4 linked regions of the Oryzias latipes genome follow. The protein of the gene in region 1 binds, or shares a complex with, the protein of each later gene. Links are inferred from orthologs where the notes say so. Each region holds a gene or a part of one and is shown in the gene's direction. Other genes may lie near its edges.

Evidence for each region. The genes of interacting proteins can lie anywhere in the genome.
Region 2: nup160 (region 1) and cetn3 share a complex: the UniProt entries of both Homo sapiens proteins name them as parts of the nuclear pore complex. The link is inferred for Oryzias latipes from reciprocal best matches to the Homo sapiens genes NUP160 and CETN3.
Region 3: nup160 (region 1) and nup93 share a complex: the UniProt entries of both Homo sapiens proteins name them as parts of the nuclear pore complex. The link is inferred for Oryzias latipes from reciprocal best matches to the Homo sapiens genes NUP160 and NUP93.
Region 4: nup160 (region 1) and nup188 share a complex: the UniProt entries of both Homo sapiens proteins name them as parts of the nuclear pore complex. The link is inferred for Oryzias latipes from reciprocal best matches to the Homo sapiens genes NUP160 and NUP188.

What each region holds. Positions count from the first base shown.
Region 1 is NC_019864.2:4,334,703-4,338,202, forward strand, and holds part of nup160 (nuclear pore complex protein Nup160), read left to right. Parts: intron 1-15; coding exon 16-226; intron 227-527; coding exon 528-750; intron 751-826; coding exon 827-1,017; intron 1,018-1,092; coding exon 1,093-1,329; intron 1,330-2,314; coding exon 2,315-2,412; intron 2,413-2,523; coding exon 2,524-2,608; intron 2,609-2,697; coding exon 2,698-2,766; intron 2,767-3,500. UniProt on the Homo sapiens protein: Functions as a component of the nuclear pore complex (NPC). Involved in poly(A)+ RNA transport.
Region 2 is NC_019870.2:1,966,126-1,970,119, forward strand, and holds the start of cetn3 (centrin-3), read left to right. Parts: upstream 1-1,194; 5' UTR 1,195-1,343; coding exon 1,344-1,360; intron 1,361-2,060; coding exon 2,061-2,193; intron 2,194-2,264; coding exon 2,265-2,379; intron 2,380-2,449; coding exon 2,450-2,641; intron 2,642-3,759; coding exon 3,760-3,803; 3' UTR 3,804-3,994. UniProt on the Homo sapiens protein: Plays a fundamental role in microtubule-organizing center structure and function. As a component of the TREX-2 complex, involved in the export of mRNAs to the cytoplasm through the nuclear pores.
Region 3 is NC_019864.2:28,020,781-28,024,814, forward strand, and holds the start of nup93 (nuclear pore complex protein Nup93), read left to right. Parts: upstream 1-1,234; 5' UTR 1,235-1,301; exon of another isoform or gene 1,302-1,419; intron 1,420-3,126; 5' UTR 3,127-3,130; coding exon 3,131-3,309; intron 3,310-3,682; coding exon 3,683-3,800; intron 3,801-4,034. UniProt on the Homo sapiens protein: Plays a role in the nuclear pore complex (NPC) assembly and/or maintenance. May anchor nucleoporins, but not NUP153 and TPR, to the NPC. During renal development, regulates podocyte migration and proliferation through SMAD4 signaling.
Region 4 is NC_019870.2:8,134,775-8,138,892, forward strand, and holds the start of nup188 (nucleoporin NUP188 homolog), read left to right. Parts: upstream 1-1,318; 5' UTR 1,319-1,351; coding exon 1,352-1,392; intron 1,393-2,949; coding exon 2,950-3,004; intron 3,005-3,169; coding exon 3,170-3,243; intron 3,244-3,349; coding exon 3,350-3,434; intron 3,435-3,524; coding exon 3,525-3,605; intron 3,606-3,688; coding exon 3,689-3,733; intron 3,734-3,828; coding exon 3,829-3,921; intron 3,922-4,118. Other genes in the region: dolk (dolichol kinase), read right to left, coding at 116-125. UniProt on the Homo sapiens protein: Component of the nuclear pore complex (NPC), a complex required for the trafficking across the nuclear envelope. Required for proper protein transport into the nucleus.

The sequences.
Region 1 (3,500 bases):
TCACACTCGTTGCAGGATCACGTCGGGAGACACGGTGCAGCTGGTGGAGGAGTCTCTGGACATCAACCTCCTGAACAATGCCGTCAAGTTCAAGTTCCCCCACTGCTCTGTCCTGCCTGGGGGGGTCAGCATACAGGAGACCCTCTACAATGTCATCATCCTCATCTGCACCAATCAGAGTGTCCACAGAGTGCTGCTGCCTCATCCTGCTCGCATGTACCGCAGCGTGAGTAGAACAAGAACAACAGGCTTATTATCCCTGCAGGAGATCCCGCTCCGTCAACACACTCCAGTGTTTGGCTGCAGCTCGGTGTTAGGAGTCCAAACCCATTTGGGTTCTAGATTCTGACCCTTTAACCATCCCAGATTTCTGTGGAATAAAGCTCTTTTTTTCTTCCATAGCTCTTAGTGTTAGCTGCATACGTGCTGTGGTTGTGCGTTTAGTACCAATCTTCACCTTGCAGTGATCATGCTACTGAAGCTGGTTTTCCTGATGTCTGTGTGAGGAACCTCCTGCTGTTCTGCAGGAACTTGTCTCTGAGCTGCACATGCAGTCCATCTTCACTGATGTGGGGAAGCTGAATCTTCAGGATTGGCCTAACAGCGCCGTCATCCCCAACGTGCCAGGACTTTCGGGGAGTCTGAGCACCAGTGCGGCCTGGCTCAGCCTCCAGGGAGAGGCCCACTTCGCTCTGGCATCACCATCTGGGGGCATCGCTGTGGTGACGCTGCCACGCCACGACACACAGGGTGAGGACCAGCTTTCCATCTGGTGATGCTTGGGTGATGTTCAGGTGGTGCAGTGAAGCCTCTATCCCTTGTGTAGGCGACCTGTCTGTGGTGGAGCTGAAGAGGAGCTCCATGATGAGGAGGATCTCAGGATGGATGCCCACAGCCATCCGAGGGGAGCAGAGTCCAGGAGATCTTGTTCTCAGCATGGCTGTCAGAGAGCTGGAGGAAGACTCCTTCATCTTTGCTTTGTGCCAGGACCACAGACTTCGCATGTGGTCTCTCAGGGTCAGTGTGTCCCCTTCATGATGGACTCCGTCCCGTGGCTTCTGCCTGTTATACTGGTTTTTTTTGCGTCCACAGGAGCAGACGTGCCTTCTGGAAATAGACATTCTGGAATATATGCCGGCCTGCAGAGGTGTAAAACGACTGTCTGGTCAGGGTCACCGCCTACGGCTGGCCTTCTCCCCTTCCACCGGCCTCTGTCTGTGTGTTTACCTGGCTGTCCCTCAGAAAGGACAGTTCACCGTCTTTCAGCTGGTGGGCACTGACAACAATCGCTACAGCCTGGAGCACATCTCCTCCCTGTTCAGCACGCTGGTAAGTTGCATGGTGGTAGGGTTGTTAGCATTTGGGTCCACCACAGCAGGACCAGTCTGCAGTCGTGAAGATCCACGGGCGGCTACTGGACCAGAAAACGTACTAAAGCGTGAATTTGTAGGTTTCTGTTTCTAATGGGGTTTAAGATGCGCAGTCCAAACAGAAATGCGGACAGTTACACTTAAGTACTGACTGCAATCAGGAAGATTGGTTGATTGGTTTCCATGGAGATGTTGTGGCAGTGGGAAAGTTTTAGATATTGAGCAGGGACAGATGCAGTAGAACCCTCTTTTGAGCGGCCTACTCATTAACTGTAAACAAGAGCTGGACTGAGTGACCCCTCCCCCTTGGTGTTCCAGGCAGGAAGTACCTACTGGCTCCATTATGCAAAAATCCCATTGTCTTCAATAGAGAAATAAACAGCTGTTACTCACAGAATGACCATTTTTGATCTGTTACCTTTTTTAACATGTTCTTGATCATTTTCTTTTTTTCATGATATTTTTCTGTAGTGCAAGTTATTCAAAGTTATAAACTGACCAATCAGATGCTTCAATAAAGGTTTGTGGTGCCCGGTGGCCCCATATCCAATGTTCAAAGCTTTTAACAGATTCTCCCAAGCCAGCCTTAAAGTGATAGGGGTGTGGCTTTCCAACAAGCTTACTCCTGATTGGTGAGGCTGGTTGCCAGAGAAGTGTTTTCTCAGACAGACTTGGACCAATTACTGCTTACTGACATTGTCCGACTCCAACATGGCTGCGTCCTTATCGCCAAAAATGGGCTCTGAATTGACTTCATTTGGTTAGAGCAGGAAGTAAACCATTTTCTATGGATGACATCACACTCACTCAGTCCAGCTCTCCATTACAGTCAGCGGGGTCTGAGCTGCGTTTGTGTCCACAGCTGGCCAACCAACAGCCGGGGCCGGTTATGTGGTCCTGTGTAGTAGCTGTGATTCTGACAGAACTCGATTTGTGTCTGACAGGAGACCCTGGTGGACTTTTCTCTGACCTCCTCAGATGTCTGGGCTTTGTGGGTGGATGACTCCAATGCCACAGTGGTCAAATACATCAGCTTTGAGCAGTACGTTTGAGTCATTCTGGATCATTGGCTCATTGGAAGTATATGATCCTGGAACTGGACTTTTAAGTTCCCGTGTTGGGCAATTGGTTCTGATTAGTCTGTGTGTTACAGGAGTGCATCAGGTCAGTGGAACCAAGTGTTTGTTCAGCCTCTGCCTGAGGAAGAAGTTCCTGTGGGAATGGATCTGGACCCCAGGGTATGACCGGTGATTGTGATGGAACACAGCCTGGTGTGAGTGACATGGTTAATGTTTATGTTTATATAGATGTGGTGTGTTCTTTTTAGGAGACCTATCTGGATGTCCTGTTCTCTCCGCTGCACTTCAGTGCCGCGGCCATCATCAAAGCTCTGCAGGTGAGTGCACGCTGACATCACCTTTGCCGTCTCTGCTGAAAAGCAGCTTTGCACCATAATGCAACACTTTACTTCAGTGATGTGTAGAATATCAATGCAAAGCCGATGTGAAAAGCCGCTTTTCACTGCGTCAGAATGCCACACGAAAGAACACAAACATCCAAAATTTTGCATAGATGAATGTGCAATATTGTGCGTATGAAAGGAAAGCGTTTAGCTGAATACTGCTAGCTCAATGGAGAACGTGGGTGTGTGTTAGCCTGGGGGTGGTGCTGACAGCACAGACTCTTCCTGAAAGAGGCTTTTCCCCATTATCTACCTCACAATGTTAGAAGCCACTTGTTTTGGTGGGTTGGGAGGGGCTGGTGTGCACAGTCATGTTTTTAGAGGAATACTCAGAAATGCTTGAATACCACTTTAGGGTTGTTTTTGGTGAGGAATGAACATTACAATACACTTTAAAGCTAAAAAAAAATATTGTGGATGATGCTCTTTAAGAGATTAAAAATCCCAATGACTGTTAAAAAGCAAAATTTTGCACAAGCCCTGTAAGACAAACATAGCATAAAGAGCATGCCAAGTAGTCGACCACACTCCGTATATCACTTCAAATCCCTAAATCTGTTGAATTCTTCATCCTCTGTGTCGCTTTGGAGCAACTCTGCCGAGCCTGGTTTAAGACTGAACGGCATTTCTCTCCTCTGTTGGTGTCAGTAGCAAATACTGGTACACAA
Region 2 (3,994 bases), on another chromosome or scaffold:
CTGTTATTTTCATTCCGTCACAAACTACTGCCTGTTGTTGTTGTTACCACCTGTTTTTTTGTATTTTTTTCTGACTTAGACTCTGCTGAGCTTGAATCTCTCCTGAGGCGACATGGTTTTTCACTCAGGCGTTATCTAGGATGACACATGTGACACAGGAAACGCCCCGACGTGAGCCGAGACCGGGCGGCACCTTCATCCCGGAGCACCATGGGAAATCCCTGATAAAACTGAGACAAAGCCCAAATCAGGGGTGGGGGCACAAAGACCCTCGGGAAATGCTCCAAGCATTTCCAGAGGGTAGAAACCTCCGGCAGGATTCCAGAGAGAAGGACGACTGTTCAACAAGCCAGGACCATTATGGGTTACATGCCTTTAATGTTGACAGACAGACATCAGACATAACAGGACCGTTGACCAATGTTTATGAGGAAAACTTGTCATCAGTTCAGAGTAACAAGTTACAACAAATAAAGGGTGTGCTGAACTGTTGGAGGACAAAGTCTAATATTTAGGTGTTTTTAACATGTTCTTGATGATGGAGGACCATGTATGAAGAAAATTAAGCGCAAATTTTCATTTGTTGTGAATCAGGAGCAGACTAAAAAAATGCAGTTTAAAAAAGAAAAAAATGTGCTGGGCGGTGCCACAAGCTCCGTGCTGCGCTCCATTCCGATGCATTCACTGTCAGACAAATAGATCCATAAACATCTCTGTTTTCCTGGTCTGAGCTGGAGTCTGAACTGGACGAATGGACGGATCTGATGAGGCTGCCATTTTTGTTGCACCAGTAATGTTGGGGGGGTTGGGGGGGGGGCTGTTAGATAGCAGGAAAGAGTGTAAACAAAGGAATCATGGGAAATTAGACAGGCTTACTGTGTGCCAATGGCCACAACTCAGAGGAGAACCTCTGATGAACTCCTGTGGATCTGCAGAAACTGTCCTGTAAAACTGTCCACAGGAAGGGAAATAGATCAAAAGATGGCCGGAATGTGTCTTAAAGTTATCTGGATTATTCTTTTGTGAATCACAAACTGATTTTCTATTTAAAGTTTTTCTACATTTTATTTGACTTTGAAAAGGATTCCAGCGTCAGTATTAGCAGATGTAGCAATGACAGACGACAGCAGGGGGCGCTGGTGTCCCGCTTGGGTTCAGTTTGCTCCCGAAGAAAAAAAAACAGAGCGCCACTAAGCGAGCGCCTTGCTGTTGCCTAGAGACCACCGACCAATGAGGACCTCGGATCTGAGCGCGGACACGCGGGGTTTGTTTTTGCTCGTTGAGCGACAGTAGCCGTTCCTTGGAAGTGAAATCTTCGCGTTTGGATCTGCAATTCGATCGCAATGAGTCTGTCTCTGAGGTGAGGATCGCAGCTTTTACGGTGACGTCATTTCCGGTTCTCTCGCCTTGTTAGCCGACGTTAGCATGTCGCCCGTTTGCCTCAAACATTCAGAGCTTGTTGACCGGAGACTCGGTCAAAGGGCTGCGTCGGTCCAAACGGTCCAAATGTGTGTCTGTCAAAGGGTTCGGTTCGGTGGAGCTGTCTCTGAATCAATCTGAGCTTGGCTGAAGACGTTGCACCGAAATTCTGTGACCTCTCAGGTTCTGTCCTCGGTAGATAATATTTCACCTGATTTGGACTTTCCGGGACCAAAAGCTCGTTTCGGGGAATGAGTTCTTTTATTTTGAAATAACGTTTGTTTTTCCACCATATTTGGTCAAAGGTTCTCCAAATAAACCTGTTGTGACGTCAATGTGACAGAAAAATATCAGAAATAGGATTCTGTGGTTTGTGGTCAAATACTACGATAAGACTAAATGGGTCTGGGTTCTTATTGGCTCAAATCTGATCGGAGATCTCTGAGTTGGTTGAAGCAGGTTTCTCTCTCGGCTCAGAGTTTGCCGTCAGTCTTCTCCTGCCTTCATGTCTGTTCCTGACTGATGAAGATGTTCAAACTCTTGTTTTTTTGTCTTCGTCCATCCTTCACGGTTGAACGGCGAGGTTCAAGCTCTGGTTTGTGGTCACAGGGAGAATCTGTGACTCTGGTTTTGCTCCGCAGAACCGACCAGGCCGACAAAAACAAGCCTAATAAGAGGAGGGAGCTCACCGAGGAGCAGAAGCACGAGGTCAAGGAGGCCTTCGACCTGTTTGACACGGACAAGGACCGACAGATCGATTATCACGAGCTGAAGGTGAGCGGCGGCGGATCGGATGGAAACCGTGGAAACGAGACCAAAGGTGTCATCTGTCACGGTCCCACCAGGTGGCGATGCGCGCCCTGGGCTTTGAAGTGAAGAAGATGGACGTCCTGAAGATCCTGAAGGACTACGACAGAGACGGGAACAGGAAGATCACCTTTGAGGACTTCAGTGAAGTAGGTGAGTCACTGGCCTCCTCTTCCTCAGAGCCAGGCGACGAGGAGCCGCCCTGAAACGCGTCTGCCCGCAGTGACGGACCGCATCCTGGAGCGGGACCCGAAGGAGGAGGTCCTGAAGGCCTTCAAGCTGTTCGACGACGACGAGTCCGGGAGGATCAGCCTGAGGAACCTGAGGAGGGTCGCCCGAGAGCTCGGCGAGGACATCAACGACGAAGAGCTGCGCAGCATGATCGACGAGTTCGACACCGACAGAGACGGAGAGAGTAAGTCTGCATTCGCTCAGGTTAAAGCCACGCCCCCTTCACCGGATGACACGTGTTCTGTCGTTGCCGCGGAGATGAGGGTCAACAGCCTGTACTTATGTAGCTCTTATGCAGGTCTAACGCGTTTTAAGGTCACTCTGAAGGCGGCAGAGCTGCCATGACAACAGAGGGGCAAGGTGGGGGTTCAGTCTCTCGCTCAAGGTCACTTCAACGCATAAACCTGCGACCTCCTGATCGTAGGTGGACCGCTCTTCTCCCGGTGCGGCTCCTGCTTTAGAAATCCCATCGCTCTCTGACCTCCATGGCAGGAAGGTTCTGGCGTTCCCGCTCCGAGGTCGCCGGTGATTGGGCGGAGAGCGCGGCTCCTCCCCTCACGGTTTCCTCAGCTGACCTGTTCCAGAGTTTTAGCGACCCGAAGGCCCGTACACACCGGGACGAATATTCGCCAGGCGTTATTCGCCAGCGTTTTTCTCCACGTTTTTTGTGTTCACACCCAGGCGATTTTCGCTGACGATGAGCCGAGCGAACATGCAATTTCATTCCCTGACATTAGATGGCGCTTAATGTAAACAGAAATACTCCTGTACACAAGGTGGCGCTGCGCAACTTTACGCTTCTTAAAGTCGCTTTTCACTCAGAAGAAGAGAGCAAGTATTTACACGCTTGTCAGAATCAAACAAAGAAAACATTAATATTTCAAGCATCAGTAGCTCCAACTGGTGCTTGGTTCGGGGATATTTTAGAATGTCCGTCATTATTGCTTCGCGGCTGTGTAGACGCTACTTGGCGTCTATCTTCTTCGCTGGTATGTGTGCTCAGCAAGGCAGTTTTGTGTTTGAGCGCCCCCAAGTTGTGTTTTACTGTAACTTCAGAAGCTCCAGACACGTGAGCAAAAGCGCCATTCTCATTGGTCGAATAGATTTCGATGCGACGCGTCGAAAAAAAAAAAACGAACCCGAGGCGTTTTTTTTTTTTGACGCTTTAACGCATGGCGTTTTTTCGCGTCGGTGTGCACACTCTCGTTGGTGCCCTTTGTTTAGTCACGAGGCGTTTCGCCGACGAAATTCGTCCCGGTGTGAACAGGCCTTGAGAGTCTGAGCAGACCGGTGTTTCCTCAGTAAACCAGGAGGAGTTCCTCGCCATCATGACCGCAGACTCCTGAGGAGGAGCCCGGAACGCCTTCTGAGCTGGACCCAGACGTTTCTCCACAGAGCCAGTGGACGCCCCCTCAGAGCCCGTGAGTCTGAATCCCGCTGGACATGAGAAGACTTTCCAACAGTAAAAACTGGACTGACTTTCTGTAAAGATCAAGATTTAAGTCGATCTTGACTTTTGAACTGTTTGTGTGAGTGT
Region 3 (4,034 bases), about 24 Mb from region 1:
TTTTTCAAATGAGTAGATTACTGAAGTTCATTTTCTTAAGGCAAATTGAACTTTTTTGCCTGACACCGAAAAAAATGGATGTATCTGTTCTTCAGTACAAGCCTGGGCGGGAAATGAAAAACACATTTCTTTTCTTAATATCTTGTTTTTAATGCATTTGGAGACACTATATTAATACCTAATCTATCACATGAAGTGTGTTGATAAAAGAAGAAGAAGAGAACGTTGAGAAAAATCAAGTTTATGCTGCCAAATTCTCAGTGTTTGTTCTTATTAAAGCATAGGGAGAATTATTTGCCTATTAAACTTTATTGTCATTGTTTATGTAAAGATTCTCATGGAGACTCAATGTGTCGTTTTAATGTAACAACTGTTATGATGACCAAACTACAAGAAGCAATGAAATAAACTACGGTTAAAAACAAACAGATTTATAGACTAACTATCCATATTGTTTCAGACATGTTTGAACTCCAATAGCGTCAAATCCTACATACAAAATTTTCATATTAAAAAATGAAAATGTTTCTGCTTGTCCTTCGTAAACTTTTGATTTTGTAACCAGAAATTGTGAGTTTTTTTTAAATATTGTAATGTTTTCTGATTTTTCTTTTTAATTTATTTATTTATTTTTAGGTAAATAAAATATATCTAACACACAAGTCCAAAAATATATTCCTAAAGAAATCTTTACTTGTGTGTGAGCTTATGAGGATTTATTACGAGACCATGTAGTGCAGTGTTGAGTTGAGGGTGAACATCCAGTTATACATCTCAGAGCACCGTGGAAAATCAAAAACATTGCCAGAAAATGTCATAAATGTTAGGGTTTAAAAAATAAATTAATGTCAACTTAAAAATTCTAAATATTTTTATAAAACCCATAAATCAATTTGCTCATTGAGTACATTTTGTATCTTTCAGGGGGAAAAAAAAGTTTTTTTTGAGTGTTTTTTTTTATACAACAATTTCTTATTCAATCAATACAAATTTCTTTTTTTGGGTATAATTTTAATAACATTTTTTTTTTTGAAAAACTGTTATTTTAACCTAAAATCACAATTAAAAAACGTCAAATATTGTCTGATTGCAAATTCAATCATGATAGTGTAAACCCAAACTGTAAAGATTTTAAACATAAAAAAAACTAAAAATAGCAACAAATATTTATTAAGGCAAAATACTTTTTTTTTTTTTGCACCGGTCTATGTCATTGTTCAATAAAGTTTGGGGAAAAAAACAATATACTTCCGGCTCACGCCGGTCAAGGACCAATCACGGTTGACTTCTACAGTACCGGGGCAAGTAATGCAACTTTTATTTACTACACTCTTCTGCTTAACATAAAAGCGTGATTATTGGAAAAAAAATCTGAATACAGACAGTGAGCACGCTGCTCGTTTCCTCCGTAAATATCAGGTATGATGGTTTTCCGTCCAAATCAGACTGAACAGAACCAAACTTAGCTAGAATACGAGCATGTGTTTTTCAGTGTTAGCATTAGCATGAATGCTAACTCGTCATTCATTTTGATCATTATCAGTGAACTAGCAAATCAAAAAAGAAAGGTACAGCCAAGATCACAGTCTAAAAATTTATTTTGCGTAGTTCATGGCATGCTTTTTAGAATGATAACATTATTATAACAACTTGTTGTAGCTTAGCCCGTTTAGCTGACGGATAGCTAATTCAGTCAGCGCATTCGCGCGCGTCGATCATGTCTGTCAAGTAATATTACAGCTGTATCACCTGCTAAACCTTCACACATTTCATTGACAACCTAAACCCGTATTTATTCTAAAATGCTTGTTTCTAGAACTTAATAGCGTTTGAAATTTATTTCAGTGAGTGTTCGGGTTGATTGAAGGCCAATTATGAATGAATGATGAATGGATTTTTTTCTTCTAATGTCCGAAACAGCAAATTAGTTTAAATAATCTATGAATTATTATTATTAATTAATATATCACATTAATATTTACCCAAACTGCAGTAAAAATATTGCAACCTTCAAAGTAAAAAAAACAATCTAAACATCTAGTTATTAGTGTATGTATATACTGTGGGTATGTAAAAATACAAAAGTGTTTGTTTTGGTGATCCCAGAAATTAAAATTAGCATTTTGTTTAACCTAAATAGAAAGTAGCACCTTATTTAAGGGAGACAATATCAGAAAATTTTAAGATTACTTTGGCTAATACAGATGATCAGTCTTTTATTTTTATAAATTGAAAAAAAAAAAAAAAACGTTTTTTACACCCTTCTTAGAATTAATAATTAAAGTTAAATAAATGCTTTAGGCCTCCATGCATCAGTGGTGGGTTATGAGCAATTCAAATATTAAATTTAACTTTATTTTTATAGTATTTTTCCTGCTATAGAGCATTTCAAAGTGCATCCCACAATAAAATAGATACTAGGAAGATTTAAAAAAAATTAGTAAAAATAATACTAATAATAATTATAAGATAAATCATATTTTAAAAAAAACCACATACACATCCCACAAGTACAATAAAAAAAAAATCCAATTAATATAAACAGCAATTTCTGTCTCTGTCATTACCGTCCCTATGACTCTAACATGGTGAAATCTGTTGTAAGCATTCTGATGCTTTTATCCTGGCTGTGTAATACAAGTAGAATTATAGTTAAGACCTGCTAGAGGAAAACTTTATTACTGGTTGTTGCTGACGGTTATCTTTTTATCCAGTTATAAACAGCACAAGTAACTGAGCAGATGCAGCCCATTGTAGCTGAGTATCGGTACTGTTTTTTACATTACAAATATACTCAACTAAAACACATGGGGCAGTGAAACTGCTTTCTAAGGCACAATATTTTTACAAAAGGTAACGTAAACTTAAAATGTAACGAATAAGTTTATTTATTGTAGGATGATTTTATCATGTTGTGATTTTCCTAACTTGGTTGGACTCAATCTTGTGTTTTGTTTTGTTTTTCCAATATATCCATAATTGATGCTTACCTTAAACAAGAAGGAGGTTGTACATCAGAGCTAGAAAAAACAAACATGTGTAGAGCTGCATTGTTAACATGTAAACATAACGTGGTTAAATGTAGGTCACATAAATAACTGAAAGTGCTTTTCCCTGTCGCCGTAGGGCAATGGATGGAGAAGGTTTTGGGGAGCTTCTGCAGCAGGCAGAACAGCTGGCTGCAGAAACAGAAGCTGTGTCAGAGCTGCCTCATGTTGAAAGGAACCTTCAGGAGATCCAGCAAGCCGGAGAGAGGCTTCGATCCCGCACGCTTACCCGCACGCCTCACGACGCAGCAGACGTAAAAGCGTGAGGACTTTGTCTTCCTTTTTGGTTTTAGTTATGATTTGTAGACTCACCAGACGCAATAGTAATGTCAACCTTTTGGCAGCAGAGGGACCTATTTCTCATTTCCAAAAGTATTATTGAATTTAGAGCATCCACTGCTATTAACTATTATGTGCTACAACATGCCAAAATAATCAGTAAATGATTTTAAACTCTAGCAATTCAAGGTGACATATCTTCAAAGTATTTTCATACTTTCCACTTCTTTTTTAGTTTTTAAATGTATTTTATAGAATGTTTTAAATAACAAGCACCTCTTGTGCCCTCTAGTGGGTGACATGTTGTTGTTAAAGTCTCCTTTTCTCACAACTTGTTGTTCCTTTTTTTGTTTTAGATCAATCCTTCTTGGTTCAAGAGGATTAGACATCTTCCACATTTCCCAGAGACTGGAGACCCTAAGCGCTGCCACAACCTTTGAGCCTCTGGAGCCAGTCAAAGACACCGATATACAGGTAAAATCCTTGCATGGCATCATGGAAACAATGTTTAAGGATCGAATGCATAAGGTTTATATAAACAATATAGCTAGAAAGCTGTTGATCCTAAATTTTTAGATAGATTAAATGGGAAAGCATTGGTTATTCAATGTAAATATATTTTGTAGTGAATCAAAAACCTTTCAAGGTTTTTCTACAATATTAAGACATCTTTGAGGCCTACTATACCAATTTTTTTCTCATGCGATT
Region 4 (4,118 bases), on another chromosome or scaffold:
ATCGAGGACGCAGCATCGAGCTGACAGCAGCTGCCTGCGTTAGCACGACGCCGCTGAACTCACACCAAAGGCAGCGCAATAACTAAAAGAGGATTACGTCGAAAACAGTACTCACCTAATTTCATGGGGTTTTCCTCTAGAATAGTGGTTTCGGATACAAACTGCTGCCGTCCCCTTTGAATAAAAATCCTCTTTTTGTCAGATGTCTCTCTTCTCACACCCTGTAGGAAGGGGCCATCTTTGACAGCCGGGTCACGTGACACATTCTAACCATTGGCGAAACGCGATGAGATTTACATTTATATTTTATTTTGTTTTTAAACTCTTACCCTATTACAGTATTGGCTTTCCTTAAAATAATCAAATTTTCTATTTTTTTATTAAATCATTTTTTATTAGAAATGTTATTTTATTATTTAAATAAAAGTCTACTACAAAGAAAAACTACAATTTCTGAACATATTGGCTCAAGAAAATAAACAAACAAAAAATATACTTATAAGACAAAATAATCTTTTTACCGCTAATATTTTAAACACAATTAATAATTAGCAAAATTAAAAAAGACAATAAAATAAATATGAAGTCTTGTAAGTTTAAATAAGTTTTTAGATTATAAAGAGAATCTATTTTTTTTCTGAGTGAAGATTTATTGAGATTGGCATAAATTACAAATTATCTTTACCTGTGTAAGCACACCCCAACCAACTTGAAACCATGAAAAACCCCTATGTTGTTACCATGAATTCAAAACAAAATTTAAAAAAATATTAATCTTTTCACAAATAATAATAAAAAGTATACTTATTATAGTGTTTTCAGATAAAATATATATTCATCAACATTTTACCTGTTTATCCTACTAGACACTTGTGGCAATGTTTTTCTTCACATGATGCCAGCTACAAAGTCAAAGGTCTTCACAAAATTATATATGATCATTCTCCTGATCTTATTAACAAAGGATTATATTCATAAAGCTAGGTTTACTGATACAATTCCAAAAAATTGAGATATTTGCCCAAATCAAACATTATTTGGACTTTTGTCCATACAAATATAAAAGCAGGCAAACCCTATAATGTTTGTAAGCTTAAAAGATCAACATGATTTATTTATTTATTTATTTATTTATTTGTTTGTTTATTTATTTATTTATTTATTTATTTATTTATTTATTTATTTATTTATGTATTTATACCTCCCTGGTTGTCTTGAAAAAAAAATTGGACAGTTTATTGTTCAGTGTTCCTTGCTGTGTCATTTCTGTTTTTTGAATAAAGTTTTTTTTAATAAAAAATGCTTCCAAAAAGAAAAACGGAAATGACGGAATCGTGTGTGAACCAATCGCATGGCAGAAGTGAAGATGGCGGACTCTCAGATCAGCGTCAGGTAAAGAATCAACAGTAAACTTTCCTTAACATTTGTTTTGAGTGAATAATTCATTAAAACACCAAAAACTTGGTTAACATTTTAAAATAGTAACCTAAATATCTCCCGCTAGATTAGCAGTAACCGTTTGATGATTTGAGCTATCAGCAGCTAGCTAACTTAGCTTAGCTTGCGCTAACCGCTAGTTTGAATGGCTCTCTGAAACGAGGTGCCGCTTGTCAACAAATCTACTACTACTAGCTTCGCTCACATAGGTAATGTTGCGTTTATGTGTGATAAGTAGTTAGTTACTATAATAAAATGAGTAATTTAGGCATAACATATAGAAAACACCACCGTAAAGGCACAATTTTAACTGCGAATTCAAGTTGGTATCCCGTGTATGTCACATTTCTCAGTCTTATTGTACCTAAACTCCAACTAAGACTTTATCTCAGAACAGATTATTAATACAATTGTTTAGTAATAAGATTACAACTTCATAAGAATCCGTGAATAGAATAAATAACGGGGGAATGTTTAAGCTGTGGTGTAATTGTCAGAAGTATACACCTCCGTAAAGAGTTACTGTATAATTCCATGGCCACGTGTGTATAAAACCAGGGATTTCAAGGCACGCGGGCTACTGTAACAAACGTTTGTAAATGACCAGGCTACTATGAGCGCTGAATTGTGCAACACATGTGAGGTCTCCATATGAAATGTTTGATTGTCAGTAGTGGTAGTAGTAGTGGTACAACTAAGCCACAAAGCAGTTCTCTGTGTGAACGGCAGCTCCTGTGTGCACAGGTCAGCAATTTTCCGCAGTCAGTGATGGACCAGTCTGGGTTTGGTGGTTTCCACAAAAACAGTCACTTGTCTGACTGCGTTGTCAAATGTGAAGTTTGGTGGAGTGATGGTTGTGGTATGGTTGACCCAGTAAAAAGAACTCTTAATGCTTCAGTAGATATTTCCGACATCATAGAAACATAGAAAGTTGCTTTGCTCAAAGCAAGGACTAAAGAAGCCCACTCACTGTATTTGAACACAATAGCATAGAGTGAAGAGTGTGAGCACGGCCTTTCTCATCCAACATAGTGTCTGACCTCACTAATGGGCTTCCACAAATACACTACTAACCCTGAAAGGCTTTCTTGGAAATCCGGAGGGTCGGCTGTCATAAAAATGACGCAGACTTGCCCTCTTTTTTTCTTTTTTTTTTTAAACAAACAGATGGTCAACAAATAAAACTCAAGGACCTATAACATATAGGTAGCGATGCCTGCCTATTACAGCCCGTTAGCTGAGTTTCTCCCTGTAATTTTGGCATGCTGGAATATAGGATTGGACCTTTAAAAAGATGCATAACATTATAGTCTCCCAAAGTACGGTAATCTAAGGTTTTCCCATGGGTGGAACCTGTAGGAAAGAACAGGTTAGTTAGAGTAGACCATGTATGTGTGTGTGTGCGCTTGCGTGTGTATCTATATGTATATGTGTGTGTCATGATGATTTGGGGCATTTTTATAATGATCTGTACATATAAAACTTGTGAAAATAAAACCTTGATTTTCATAGGAGCTGTCGAGAACTGTGGACCATTCTGCTTGGCAGATCCGCTTTGAGAGAACCGGTATGTTTAGCTTTTACCTTTATTCTCTATGCTAACAATGCACAGTATAATGTACCGGTACTTATAAAACACACAATTCATGTACAGGTTTTGTATGACACATAATATGTGTTGGAGGCAAATCAAGTTTTTTAACATTTACATTTCTTCGTGTGTCTTTTGCAGGCGCAAATAGAAGCAGAACTTGAAAGACACTGGGATAGACTCCATCAAGGACTCAGTTACTACAAGCAACCCAGGTGAGGTTACAAGCAAGAATGTTCCTGAACTTTCTTTAATGACTGCACTTTTAAAGATGTACCTACTCGGAGCTTAATGCATCGTTGTTGGACTCGTTTGTTGAAGCTCAAGCTCTGCAGGGAAGGTTAAGGAAAACAAAAATGTCCCACAGCCGCTGAAAGACTTTGGTTTAAGGATCAGTAAACTGTTGGTAAGATTTTGACATTTCTGTTAATGTATTTAGTTTTTTTTTAGATGTGTCTGTGTCTTGATGTCATTCGGTACAATGGAAATTTTGCAGAACCTTGACGAGGAGCAGAGCGTACAGCTTTTACAATGTTATCTTCAGGAGGACTACAGAGGGACCAGAGACTCCCTAAAGGTTTTTGTTCTCGCAGTCAAAAAATTGAAGAGGAAAAAAATAATTGGCGGGAGGAAAAATTAAACAAAAGTTTTTTTCCGTAGGTTGTCCTAAAAGACGATCGACAGAGTCAGGCGTTACTGCTAAAGGTGAGCGAAAGGTCCTTGATGGATGTAATTCTAATAATAGTTTTACTTCCTGCTTTTATTTAAAGGATTTATTGGTATATGTATGATGTCCATAGATTGCTGATTACTACTATGAAGAGCGGATGTGTTTGCTCCGCTGTGTTCTTCTGCTGCTCACATACTTTCAGGACGAGCGACATCCCTATCGGGTGAGAATGACAAACTTTTACAGAAACCTGAATGAGTGCTTTCTTTTCTTTGTATTTAAAAGTTTGGTTGTGGAACTTCTTTTATTGTGTGGATTTCAAGTCCAGATGCCATGATTCGACTTTAAGATGTCACCTGGATGAGTGAGAGCCTTCATGGACGACGTCTGTTATTGAATCAGCTCTTGTGTTTGTTTCTG